2 linked regions of the Drosophila melanogaster genome follow. The protein of the gene in region 1 interacts with the protein of each later gene in a pairwise test. Each region holds a gene or a part of one and is shown on either strand. Other genes may lie near its edges.

Evidence for each region. The genes of interacting proteins can lie anywhere in the genome.
Region 2: the proteins of CG32354 (region 1) and Mrgn1 interact in a two-hybrid assay, tested with the Drosophila melanogaster proteins (one large-scale study listed by BioGRID).

The regions. Positions count from the first base shown.
Region 1 is NT_037436.4:8,416,200-8,424,132, reverse strand, and holds the start of CG32354 (uncharacterized protein), read left to right. Parts: upstream 1-1,927; 5' UTR 1,928-3,066; coding exon 3,067-3,292; intron 3,293-6,273; coding exon 6,274-7,294; intron 7,295-7,350; coding exon 7,351-7,548; intron 7,549-7,609; coding exon 7,610-7,933.
Region 2 is NC_004354.4:13,718,204-13,723,904, forward strand, and holds Mrgn1 (mahogunin ring finger 1), read right to left. Parts: upstream 3,775-5,701; 5' UTR 3,474-3,774; coding exon 2,215-3,473; intron 2,149-2,214; coding exon 1,208-2,148; intron 1,143-1,207; coding exon 973-1,142; 3' UTR 531-972; downstream 1-530. Other genes in the region: mus101 (mutagen-sensitive 101), read left to right, coding at 4,151-5,701.

The DNA.
Region 1 (7,933 bases):
CACTGCCACTGCAGCCGCAATTTTCACTTTCCATTTTTATTGGCAACCGCAGGCGAGCGCCGTCAAATATTTGGCCAAAAAAGAAACTGCACGGCTGCCAAAAGGTTTTTACGTCTCCGCGCCAGCCTGGCTTTCTTTTAATTAAATTTTGCTCTTCTGTTTTCAGTTTCTTATTTATTTTTTTTTTTTTTGGCGGTCTTTTCCTGCGGTTTGTCCCCCTCATTTCTATGGGATCTGCAGCTCGTCGTGTTTGGGGTATTAGTTCTGGGCACTGGCGCTTAAAGCCGAGTCACGCCTGTCATATGCAGTTTGGCTTTTTCCGTCGAGCTGAGATCGGCTCGGCATTATGTTTTGTTTTGTTTTGTTTGGTTTTGTTTTGGACCTGGCTCTCTCTGATCTGCCCAAAAAGCTAACTGTAAACATTCACTTACTGACCTCTTTTCCCATGCGACGGCCACTTCCACCTCCACCTCCACTCAATTTTCTTTAATGCACGCGACTCCGCCGCCAATGATCTGCTTCTTCACCTTCCTCCACCCACCGCCAGCGCACAGTGGTTCCAAAACATGTGGAATTTAAGCACCCACAACGCATTTCCCAAAAATGATGATTTATTGCACAAAGTTTTAAGGGAAAGTACTCGTAAGAAAAAAAAGCAACATTAAAATTCTTAAAAAGATTGAATATTAACTTAAAGCTCATATGTCCCGAACCATGAAAGATTAAGGATTATGTTTTGCTTAAGAACATTTATTTACTTACTATTTATAGTTTAAAATATAACTTCATTTTTTATGTTACTAGCAAGTTATTTATTTGGGTAGCATTACTTTGTATTCCTTTTAACATAAGCTAGAATTACTTAACTAAAATATTATTATATCAAATATATAATACCTAAGACAATTAGATAAGGTCTAAGCTCTAATAGCTAAACTATGCCAAAATCAAATATTTTTGTGTGAATGCATTAGTAAACATGCACCTTAAATTGGCATCAGGACACTGTGCAAGGTGATAGTAGGCTATGTGTGTGTGACCCTTATTCGCAACGGCCGCTGAGGCGTAAAATTTATGGCTTTAAAGTCTACAAGTCTATAAACACAGCTTCCAGGCTGCACTTTCTACTGCAACTGCAACTGCCAATGCCAATGCCACTGCAACTGAATCGTGGACTCGGATCGTGAATATTGTATATTGGATGTGGGATGGTATGGCTTGGGTTTGGGCATCGGAGATGTTGGGGGAGCACGGACGTGGATGTGGATGCATCTGATCCGATCGAATCGTATCGTATCGAATCGAATCGAGTGTGTGAGTTATAATTTCAAATGCGGCGCGCCTTTTTGGCTGCATTTTGCTGCCACTTTTGGCAAATTAAATTTGTACGCAAAACCGATTAGGCCAGGCAGACATGACCAAGTTGTTATTTTAAATACCAACAACTCCATTTAATCAATATGCCCCGGCACCCAACAATGCACTCGAAAAACTTGTGGTAGTAAACCGTTAAAGTTTAAAAAGAAATATAGGTCTATTCAAAAAGATCAAGACTAGACTACATTTTTAACTTAAATTTACTTGCTCTCTTTACTGCTCTCAATATATGTTACATTTTGAAAGTTTGAAACTGCACAGACATGCATATCTTTGAATTGTATCCTTTTACAATCCACCATTGCTGTTATTGTACATTATAACTTTTTTATTATTATTCATATATATTTTTATTTTTTCATTGTTTTTCAACTTTAAAAACTTAAAGAAAGCGGTGCTTTTTGTCCTAACTGGAAATACTCTTGATTTAGTATTCAAAAGATGAGTGAATTGTTTCGAGTGTAGCTGCAACAACAACAGCGCTGGATGCTCTGCTCTGCCGTCGCCGACTGCGCTGCCTTTCACCCATATAAATTTCTTTTCATTGCAAATTTTTTGCCATTCGTCGGCGCATTGTCAAACCTTCCAGTCGCATTTGGAGCCCAAGCTTTCCGAGATTTCAGAGCGACTCTAGAGCGCACTAAACAAAGGCCTAAGAAAAAAGTTAAAAAGGCGAAAAAAGAAACAGAGGCAAAGACGACAATACGAATTGTACAAATCGGATGCGAGCGCGAGTGTGTTAGTGCCCATTCATTCATTCATTCATTCGAGAACAATAAAAAAGAAGAAATGAAATACGAAATGCAATCGCCGCAGTTGCAGTCGCAGTCGGCGTCGCAGTAGGCGTCAGCGGAGGCATCGGCCGAGGCAGAACAGTAGCAGCAGCATCGAAATCCGAAAGACAGATCATTTTTCATATGCGAATCGAAACTCGAAGAGCGCGCATCAAAGTCAAATTCAAACGACAAAAGAGTAACGGACAAAAGCGAATTGTTTTGTGCGCATAATAGAAACGAAAAAAAAAAGAAAAACGTTATAAAAAGCAAATAAAAGGAAAATAAAGCCTTACCAGAACCAGTAATTGAAATCAAATTAAAGGCGGGCCGTGCAAAAATCCACAAAACATCAAGAAAAAGCCATAAAGCCAAGGCGATAAAAAAGAAATTATGCTCCATTGTGCGATTGTGTGAAAAGGTCAAGTGCCCGGCAGGCAAAGGGAAAAGCGAAAGAGACAGAAGACAGCGTAAGACACGGGAGCTTGATGTTGATAGGCAAACGAATGAACTCGTAAAAGGGCGCTAAAGAGAGAGAGAGAGAAGGCAACACAACGACATCGGTTAACAAGAAGAGCAGGAAGAAGAAGAAGAAGAGCAGGCCAGGCCCAAATGACCGCAAGATTACCGTTAATTCGAACAGCTTAAGCGCCATTACGAGCAGTTATATAGTCCATATACTATATAGCACCACTATATCTCTATCTCCCTGGTAGATCGACCGAGGAAGAGAAAAAAAAACTTTCATCCACCGTGAGCCGCAGCCGCATAAAAGTTTGCTACTATTTCAATTTCAATTGTTAACGAGCGAAAGCGCCGCACGCCTCAGTCTCACATCACGCACGCATCCGATCCGAGCGGCAACAACAAATCATCAAGCGTCTAATAGGAAAAGTGCAGCAGACAGCCAGCGAAAATGCACCACAAACAGCATCTGCATCTGCATCTGCAGCCCCCCGCCCCAAACGCCACCCAAACACAGGCCCACGGACTTGGCCAGACTCCAAGCCAGATCGCCAGATGCAGCCATAACCACAGCCCCAGTCTGGGCCTCAGCTTTGGCGGCACCAAGAGCCAGCGACAGCTGTTTGGCGCACTCTTGGCCATGTTCACGTTGGCGGCATTTGCGTCAACCACCAGTGGTAAGTCGTACACTGCGAGAAATCCCAAAATTGGTGCTACACGTTGAGTAGAAAGTCACAGGAAGTAGTCTTAGATCATTCGAATCTCTTTCCTGGCATTCTCACTATTCAAATTGTTTAATTGCCTCAAGAAATGAATCAGCTAAAGAAGTATACGTTGATTCAGATTCAGCAAAGTTCCTCCTAACTAAATTAAAATCAGATTAAGATAAAACTAGGTTCCTTAAGCAGAGCATTAAGTCCAATATAATCATAAAAGAGAAAACTGACTATGGAACTCTTAAGCCATTGCTAAAGTAAAGAATGCTCTATTTAAATCCAGATTAGTTAACATTACATTTAAAAGGGCCTAATACAAGTTTCAAAGGGTATTAGTTTTCCTCTTGCTAAATGTACTTTCTCCTAACTATCACATCGTTATTGAGTTGCAGTTAAAACTGCGGACAGAGTTCTAGGGAAACCCGAGTTCTTCAGCGGAAAACGGCAACTGATCTTGAGCTAAATGAAAGTTGCAGACAGACTGGACAAGTCCCAGTGAGTGCCGTCTCAATTACCGCCTAATTTCTCCGGGTGTTGAAACGGAGAAGGTGAATCGGGGTCCGGATCTAAGACCTACAGCTGTGCGGTGGTAGAAAGGCCGTCGCAGCAGCTATTCAACTATCCATTTCTAAGGTACTACTCCGCACAAAGTGAATGTAAACTGGCACACATACACGAGCGCGAAGCTTCCAATGCCCCAACACCTCTCCCCCCACCGCCCCCTAGACCACGAACTCCCCAGTTTGAGGCACTCACTCCTCGACGCACAACATGCTCGTAAATATTTTCGTGCACAATTTGTCCAACATTCGTATAAATTCATTAAAAGCACGAAGGGGCCAAACAGAAGCCGGGGGCCTGAAAACGTAGGGGGGGGGGGGGGCTGGTGGAAGAGGGGCGAATCGCTAGCTCATGGGGGGGGGGGAAAATCAAGCTGACCGCACAGTGGCAGCGAGCTGGAAAGGGTTGGGGGTCAATTGGGGGGGTTACATCGTTTAAAGTTGACCCGAAGCGAAATGATTTATTTGACTTGTAAGCGCGATCGTTTGGCTAATTGATAACCGCACTTCATCGGAGATTGATGGGTGAAAGATCAATTAGTTTTGGATGCTGTGATATATGCTCGCATGCATATACACATATATATGTACATATGTACATATATGTTTTAATGGCCCCAATCAGTGGCGCCGTGATTCATTCATCTATGGGCTTGGTCATGTCGCTGCTCGCCACTGTGCCACACCAAACCGGAGCAAACCGAGTGCACATGGTGTGCTCCATGTGCATATATAGATATGTATGTACATATGTACATATATATATGTACATACCCAGTATATATCATGCAAAAGTCCCTGCCCAGCAGTGCAGTGCGTTGGTTGCTGGATTTTTCCACTTTTGAAAATTATACGGTGGCTGCTTTTATTATTTCTCTCGCCTTTTTTTTTTGCAATTGATGGCATCCGATAGGCAGGAGCCTGCCAGCAATTCGCTGGAGGCCAGGAAAATGCACCTGCACTGGGAGAAATCAGCAGAACATATGAACAAAAGGAAATCAGTAAATCAGAGGTGTATTTAAAATGCAAAATAGTATGGTGTATGGTGTTGTATAAGTTTGTACCATTAGTTTGCATGAGTGATTTGATTCTGAGTTTATCCCAGGACTAGTACCACACTTTTCTGCCAGTGCAGGATTGGTGAGAGTGGGTGGGGCGGTTGAGGTCGCATTGCTGCAATGCTGAATGAGATTGGCTGTGGTCTCGGCTTTTGCCTCTGACCATTCCAGCGGATCGTTTACATGTGCATTAATTCCTAACGCCGCTTAATTTTCTCCGCGCTTAATGGCTCCTCTGGATGCCGATGCCTCCGATTCAGATTCGGACTCGCATCCAGCCAGAGAAGCATCCGAGTCCATTAAGCTGAGAATGCGTCTGCTCGACTGACTGACTGGCTGGCTGGCTGGATGTTGAAATTTCCATCTTTATGGCCGGCAGCAGCAAATTGGAATAATGAACGTGGGTTCAATTATCGCAGCCAAACCATCGTGTGGCAGCCTCAAAGAGCGCTAATAGATTTTCTACTGCTGTTGGGTATGTCTATTTACGTTCGTATATCTTTAACTAAGTTGAGTGCTTCCTCCGGAGGCGGCTCTCACAGCTTTCTTTGCAAACAAAAAAAAAAAAAAAAATAAGAAAAATGGACAAATCAACCCAAACTAAACCAGCAGTTCCACATCCGACCAAAGACAACAGAAATGTTCGGCGCCGGAGGCAATTAGTGTGGAAATTTCACTTGCAGTTTTTAGCACAGATTAAGCTTACGATTTCTGGAGGGGATTAGCATGAACAATTATAGATGGAGGTCGCTGATAGTCCGTATGAACGAAGCGAGTGTATTAGCTGTGCTCAAACCACAGCCAAAACATAAATGCCATTGTGTCGTTTTACTTGGAATCGAGATTTGAAGACGGGTAACATTTGCCGTTGCCGTTAGTAAAAAGGGAAAGAATTATTCAAGTTAATGGCTGGTTACTTGAGTCGGTCATGCGATCACTCCAGAATCAGAGACTGGTCTCGGATGCGGGGGAGTGTCGGCGGGTGGCGGCATGGACACAGTGGGTCACAACTGCGCAAAATGCCCTATGATCGTGCGGCTAATCTGACATTTGTATGCCCACAGTTGACTCTTCCGCATGCCACCGCTAAAGAGCTGTGGAAAATGCGAAGGGAAAGTTTCATTTGGCGGTCTCGAAACAGAGTTACCCTGGGAAAATTCGATGGACAACCGGTCATTACGTGCGGGGAAGTAGTAATTATTACTAAGCTTTGTTTAATAAGTTCATATAACAGAGGAGGAGGAACTACTGTCTTGCTTTAAATGTTTAGAATTAAGTTTCTAGATAGAAACCAATTAAATTCTAAAATCATTTCCATCCACAGGCGCTGTGACAGACTCACCCATCAAGATTATCCGGCTGCCGGCGCAGGCGCCAGTTATCCGCTATCGCAGTGCAGATGCGGCGCCCAACTCATTGCTGATCAACTATCGTCAGGATGCGCGACCGGAGCTGTCGTCCACATTGATGCAGGCACCCGGAGCGGCGGCAGCTGCCTTGGAGTCGCTGCTGCGCGAGGAGACGGAGCAACAGCAGCTGTCACAGATGGGCAGACGGAATAGGGCTAGTAACACCGGCACCGGCAACTGTCCTCGATCCTGTCCACCGAGCATCACCGTGGGAGCTGAGCCCGTGTGCGGCAGCGATGGTCTGATCTATGCGAATATCTGCGAGCTGCGCAAGAAGACTTGCTCCCGCAGTGGAGTGTCGCTGATCAAGGACGTGCGGGATGGCTGCGAGAGGTCGAAGGGTTCGGACTGCAAGCACCGCTGCAGCACGGAGAAGGATCCAGTGTGTGGTACAGACGGAAGGACCTATCTGAATCGCTGCATGCTGAGGGTGCAATCGTGTCGCGTGGGATTGGCTGCAGTGAAGCTATCGCATGTGGGTCCCTGCAGCAACACGAGTGCCGTGCGTGAGTCCTGTCCGGTTGACTGCAACAGTGCGCCGAAGGATGGACCAGTTTGCTCATCGGATGGCAATGTATACAACTCCACGTGCGAGATGAAGCTGAAGACGTGTGGACAGGGTGTGGTGAAAACCAGCCGGAAGCACTGTCAGTCCACACGAATGTGCAGGGAATCCTGCTGGCGTGTGGCGAGGCCCACTTGCGGATCAGATGGCAGACTGTATGCCAGTCCGTGCAAGATGCGCTCTTCCAATTGCGGCAAGCACGTCTTTGAGGTTCCCTTATCCTACTGCATGTCGCAGGAGAGGCACGGAGCCTCCGATGCCTGTCCCACGGAGTGTCCCAAATCGGATACGGATTCCTCGTCGCAGTACGTGTGCGGCAGTGATGGCAACATATACTCTTCGCTGTGTGAACTCAAAATGCTCAATTGCGGGTGAGTTTGGATGAGATAAAAATGGAATATAACCAGACTAAAATTTTATCTTTCAGTCCACAGCGCAAGTCCATTCAAAAAGTGAGCATGGACAAGTGCAAGAATCGACTGACCCGCTGCAAACAGCTGCCTCCTTGCAAGGACTTCAATAGCTTGTTCGGTTCCATCTTCAGCTCGAAGCGAAATGACAAGCTCTGCGGCACGGACGCCAAGACTTATAACAATGAGTGCGAACTGGCCCACGCCACCTGCCTGTGAGTATCCATGATAGGATCATCCATAGGACATGGATCTAGCTCTTCAACTTCTTTTCAGACGCGGCGTGAATCTGGCCCACATTGGTCCCTGCACGGATCTCAATTCGCCCACCAAGGATTGCGGGGATGCCTGTACTCGGGCGGATCTGGAACAGCAGCCAGTGTGCGGCTCGGATGGCAACACCTTCGCCTCCATGTGCGAGTTCAAGCGGCGCACTTGCGATCTGCGTGTGGTGCCCGTTTCGCTAAAGAATTGCGCTTTAACCGCCGACTGCGAATCGGATTGTGATGCCCAGCCGCCAAGTTTCGTCTGCGGATCGGACAACAACTTGTACAAGTCCGAGTGCCACATGCGCAAGGAGAATTGTGGCAAGCATGTTTT
Region 2 (5,701 bases), on another chromosome or scaffold:
GAAAAACCACCGAAAAGAAATTCTTAAACGGGCGAAAGGTAAACAAATCCAATTGGACAATTCCAAGGGTGATCTCTAGTGATGGCAGCTCCTAGCGGCCTATCGACGCCTTTCGATAGTGTGGGCGCTGTTATCGATAGCGATTTGCAAAAGTTTTTTATTTAAATAATGCATTTAAAGTTGATATTTAATATGAAAATTGGAAATGACATTTTTCTTTTACGTATAAGTAAAAGTTTATAATTTCACTTTAACGCATAACGTAATATTAAAATTCGAATTTGAAAATATGTATGTTTGAATTAACTATTTAATACAAAAATGTGTTGGATTTATGGTTTTAAGACCACAATTTACTATTATTTTGTTACTGCGTACTGCCACATGTATTTAATGGCTTTAGATTAATATATTTGTTGCTAAATTACTTCATTCTTGCTAATTAATATTCACAAGTTACTCTTGATATTCAAGGAGTAATATATGTATATACCACACTGCCGCCCATTGATAGTGTAACTAATTTAGTTCGAATTATACTGTGGAATGTAGCGCCCTAGGCGCCGTTGTTTATTGGATTTATTTTATTTGTTATATACCCAAGCCATTATACTAGATTAAACTACATACACACACATGCATGTGGGACGTGTGTCTTTTCGTGTCTGTGGTGTTAGTGTTTGTATGTATGTATATACTGTGTATACTGGTTAAGTGTTGCGTCCTGGTAGCCTTATTCCTTGCTCCTCCTCCGTTCCATCCTTATCCGTATTATCATTATCATCATCATCATCATCATCATCATTAGCATTACCATTAATATTAATATTAATATAATCCTCAAAATATTTGTTCCTGCGAGCGGGGAAGCAGCATTGATTTAACTAAATCTAGGTGAACTCCGAATAAATAGTATAAACGCAAAGCTAAAACGAGAAAACGAATTTCCGCGAAATTCAACCGAGACCGGCTCTAAACATTGACGGCATTCTGCAGAGCTGTCTTGTCATCTACGATAATATTGGCCGCCGTAGTGGTCGGATTGGAGCTGAGCAGCTGCTTGGTGGACGAACTGGAGGAGTAGCTATCACTGGAGCTGCGCGTCGAGGCCGAGTTGCCGCTGATTGGGCTGTCCAACATGTCTGGATGGCAGTAAGATATATGTTTTAATCATGTGACAATTGGAAACCGAATCAGAAACACCAACCTGGCAGGGAGCTTACGTTGTTGGACTTCAAGTCCACAACCGTTGTCACCGATCCGGAGCCCACCATGTTGCCCACCGATGTGGACTTTTTGTGCAGGTTCTTCTTAACTGCACTACTGAAACCCACAACGACGGGTCCCACTCCAGCTTGTCCGCCCACTGATCCTGCGCTCCTGCCCACGCTGAGACCGCCATTGCCCAGACTGCCGGCGCCAAGGGGATCACCGCTTTTGGCTCGCTCCGTGGGGCACAGTGGGCTTAATATCGAATTCTGAGTATCCTCCGGCGTGTAGTAATCCGAATCCTCGGCCGTGGCCTCGGCGGGTGAGGGTGCACCGCTTCCGCTAAGTTCTGGTCTCGGTTTGGTGCGCTTTATCGACGAACCCTTCTTTAGGCTGGACTCCTCGGTCGGCCCATCACCAGTGCTGCTCTTATTATCGACATCATCATCCGCTTCCAGGCAGGCCACCACCTGCTTCAGCGATTTGCTAGAAACGTTCTTGCTCTTGCTGCCGGGTGATAGCAGAGGCGATAGCTTCTCGTTCTCACTGTCCACATCGTCATCGGTACCCGCGGAGCCATCGCCACCGGAACCGGCTGTGGATCTGGGATACTTTCGTTCGTTAACAATCTGCAGCTTGTCCTGTTTCGGTTCCGGCGAAGTGGATGCCCCCAATGTTGGCGAAGTACAGGTGGCCGTGCTGGACTTCTTCGGATCGCTTTCAATCTCCACAGAGTGTGTGGATGACCCATTGCCGCCGCCCGATTGATTGGTAATGGTGCCCACCTCACTGGTCGACGTGCACGTCGAAGCGTTTTTCTTGATCTTCGGTCGACGCTGGCTGCTGGACTTGATCGGCGATGTGGCCTTGATGTCAGCACTGGTCATTGTCGAAGCGGCCACGGTGGCAGCTGAGTCCGTGACATCGTGTTCGCTGTTCCTGAATTTTGGAAAAAAAGGCATCAGCTACGTAAGATTTATCGGTTAATTCCATTCCATAACTCACCTAGCCCTGGCCACATACTGTGGCGGTCCGTTGAGTGCCTCAATTAGTGAGACTGGAATATAGCCTGGCGGAACATCCACTGGCGCCGGCTCCCCGGCCGCCGATGTGGGCGTGTTCTGGTGCAGTACATGCGTGCTAATTCCCTTCTGGACAGCACGGATCTGAAGCAACGCCCGAAACGGAGCGCGACAAATGGGACAATTGTTGGCCTGATAGCGCAGCGAATCCGCGCATGAATTGCACAAACAGAGATGGCGGCAGGGCAGGATGAGCGTATCCCTCGTCTCACTCATGCAAATAACACACTCGCTGCCATGATCGTCGATCTCCTCGTCCAGAGACGTTTTGTTCACGGCCTTGTTCTCGATGCCATAGATCTCCTGTAGCAGGTAGCACAAGCCATCCACAAAGATCTTTTGCTTCAATGCACGCAGCACATAGCTGCCGTTTTCCGGATGATGATCGATCACACAGATGGTGGTGTGCGATTGCCGACACTCGTCGCTGCCCTCCTCCACCACACAGTGAATGGCCACGGGATACTGTTCACGGCCGGGACTATAGCCCAGTTCATCCTCGGGCATCTGCTGCGGATTGAAGACATGGCTCGGCTGCGAGAAGCACTGATTGATGCCCTTCTCGTAGTGGTACGTCTCCGAGGTGAGACCCTCGCGCGGCACCAGTGTCACGCCGCTGGGACTGACATCCTCCGAGCAGAAATAGTAAATGGTAATGGCGCACTTGGCGTCCGAGTCAAAGGTAAACTCGATGTTGTAAGAGCAGGGCGGCGGTGGGGGCGTCATATCGGCATCACCGCCACCCAAACCCATCGAGCAGAGCACATTTCCATCCACATCCTCGATGGTCACGTTGGACTTCTCCTTGTCCAGATCCAAGTCCCGATCAATCTCCTTCATCTTGGGCTTCTCGAGTACACCGCCCAGCTTCTTGTCGTTCATCGTCTTGACGAAACGCACCGACTCCTTGCGAATGTTGACCAGACTCTTCAGGGTCTTCGTCGGTTCATTGGCCTGCGGCGGGGGATACGGAAAGGCTGTGGGTCGATTGCCCAGGAAATTGAGATCCGCATTCTCGCCAAACAAGTACGATTCCGGTTGGGGCGTGTCGAAGCGCTCGCCGCCCATGATGAAGTGGGTGCCAAAGAAGTTACCCATTCTCGGTGGATACTTGTAGGCATTGTTCGTGCTCGGATCGGCCTCCTCCACCGCCGCGTTCTGTCTGCTCACAAAGTTGCCCATTTGATAGGTTGGTGCTATGGAAAACTGTGACACAGATCCAATATAGCTCTTGGCCTACGTTTTCTCTTCGCTTTGGTTTAGTTTATTATTCTATTTCAGTTGGTCACCACCACACATACAATGGCATGTTGGCATTTCACTTGTTCGGCGGAAAATGGCCGCTGTGTGTGTGTGAGTGTGCGAAAGCTGTGGTCGCCTTCAAGTGTTGGATCCTGTGTCCACAAAACTAGCAATAGTACAAGTTGGTCAATGTCTTGATTATTTCTGATTTGCCTTTCCTTTCTTCTTTCTTCCTTTCTTTTAGGGCTGAGCTGCCGTCGACGACGTGGATATCGATATTTCGCTTAATGAAATATATCGATAGCTTAAACCAAAACTGATAAATAACTGCTTATTTTCGAAATATTTTATTTATTTGATAAAAAGTAAATAAAAAATCCTTACATCTTAGAGATAAATAATTAAAATTACCCATACACATTATTTTTTAATTCGCCGTCGGCGTTGCCACATAGCTCAACTCGTAGTTGCCAACTAATCACAAGCCAGCGTTGCCAACGGTTTGAAGGCAATAACAAACGGCGCCAAAATAGCGTACGCGAAAAAAAGTGCAGTGCGAAAATCACGGCAATTTTGCAGCGCATCACGGAGCAGAGAACACACTCGCAACCGCCATCATGAGCATAAGCATGAGCATGGACGAGACCATCTGCGCGTACTTCGTGAACAATCTGAAGCCGGGCGACGGTGGCGTCCAGGAGGCCGACACACTGCAGCAATTCGAGGCGGCGCGGGAGCTACTGGGCCAACAGTTGGCGGAAACGCAGATCCGGCAAATAAAGCCAAGCGAAGGATATCCCCTGATCGCAGCCGGTAACCTTACCAAGAAGGACGTCTTTGTGCTGACCCAGTTCGAGGGCGAATTCTTCGAGCAATTGCAGCAGACGCGAGCACTAATTCTGGGGCCACCGTGCCTCATCACCTGCCTGCGGCGCAATGAACCCATTCCCGAGGGCAGCAGTGCCATCTACAGCACGGCCATGCGGGATCTGCAGGTCTCGGCCACGGGCATAACACCACAGAAGAAAGAGGAATTGAGCAGGCTCATAAACTGGATGGGCGGCATATACTTTCAAAGCTTCGGGCATCGCACCACCCACCTCATTTCGAACACCATCAAGTCCAGCAAGTACGAGCAGGCAACGCTGAACGGAGTACCCGTAATGCACGTCGACTGGGTGCAGTACGTCTGGGATCAGAGTCGTCGCAGCCAGCGCGAGGGCATCATGGCCACGGATCCTGATTTCGATAAGTATCGCCTGCCCATTTTCTTTGGTGCGAATATCACGTGCAGTGGATTGGATGTGGCGCGCAAGGATCAAGTTATGCGGCTGGTCAACGATAATGGAGGCATCTATCATCGTGCCTTTCGCTCCCAGGTGGTGGACATCGTCATCACCGAGCAAACAAAAACGGACACCGAGAAGTATAAGGCAGCCATACGCTACAAGAAGGATGTCTTGCTGCCGGAATGGATCTTCGATAGCTGCAATCGCGGCTACGCTCTGCCCACAAAGGACTATGAGGTGCGGCCTGGCAAGACGTCGTCCACACCCACCAAGACCACTCGTCCGGGCGCAGCTCCCGGTGCAGATCAAACGCACCTCTCGGATCTCTCACGTATCAGCTTCGTCTCCGGCTCGCGTCGCATGTGCAGCGATCTTAGTACCGTCAACGAATCCGTCAGCAGTGTGGGCAGCAGTTCGCCCGCCAAGCAGCTGCTCAAGCAGGCGACTAGCAGTGGCCGCAACTACCAGCAGGTGCTGGCCGAGATTGAACCGCGTCAGGCGAAAAAAGCGGGCGCCTTTCTGGATGGCTGCTGTGTGTATTTGAGTGGCTTCCGCTCAGAGGAGCGTGAGAAGCTAAACAGAGTGCTGAATACGGGCGGAGCGACCCGCTACGATGAGGCCAATGAGGGCATCTCACACATCATTGTGGGCCAACTGGATGACGCCGAATACCGACAGTGGCAGCGCGATGGTCTCATGGGTTCAGTTCATGTGGTGCGCCTAGATTGGCTGCTGGAGAGCATTCGAGCTGGTCGCGTGGTCAGTGAGTTGGTGCATCGTGTGTCGATGCCACAGAATCGAGAACCAGACGTTGCCTCTCCTGCCAGCAAGCGAACACTGCGCTCCATGAACCACAGCTTCAAGCAGCCAACATTGCCC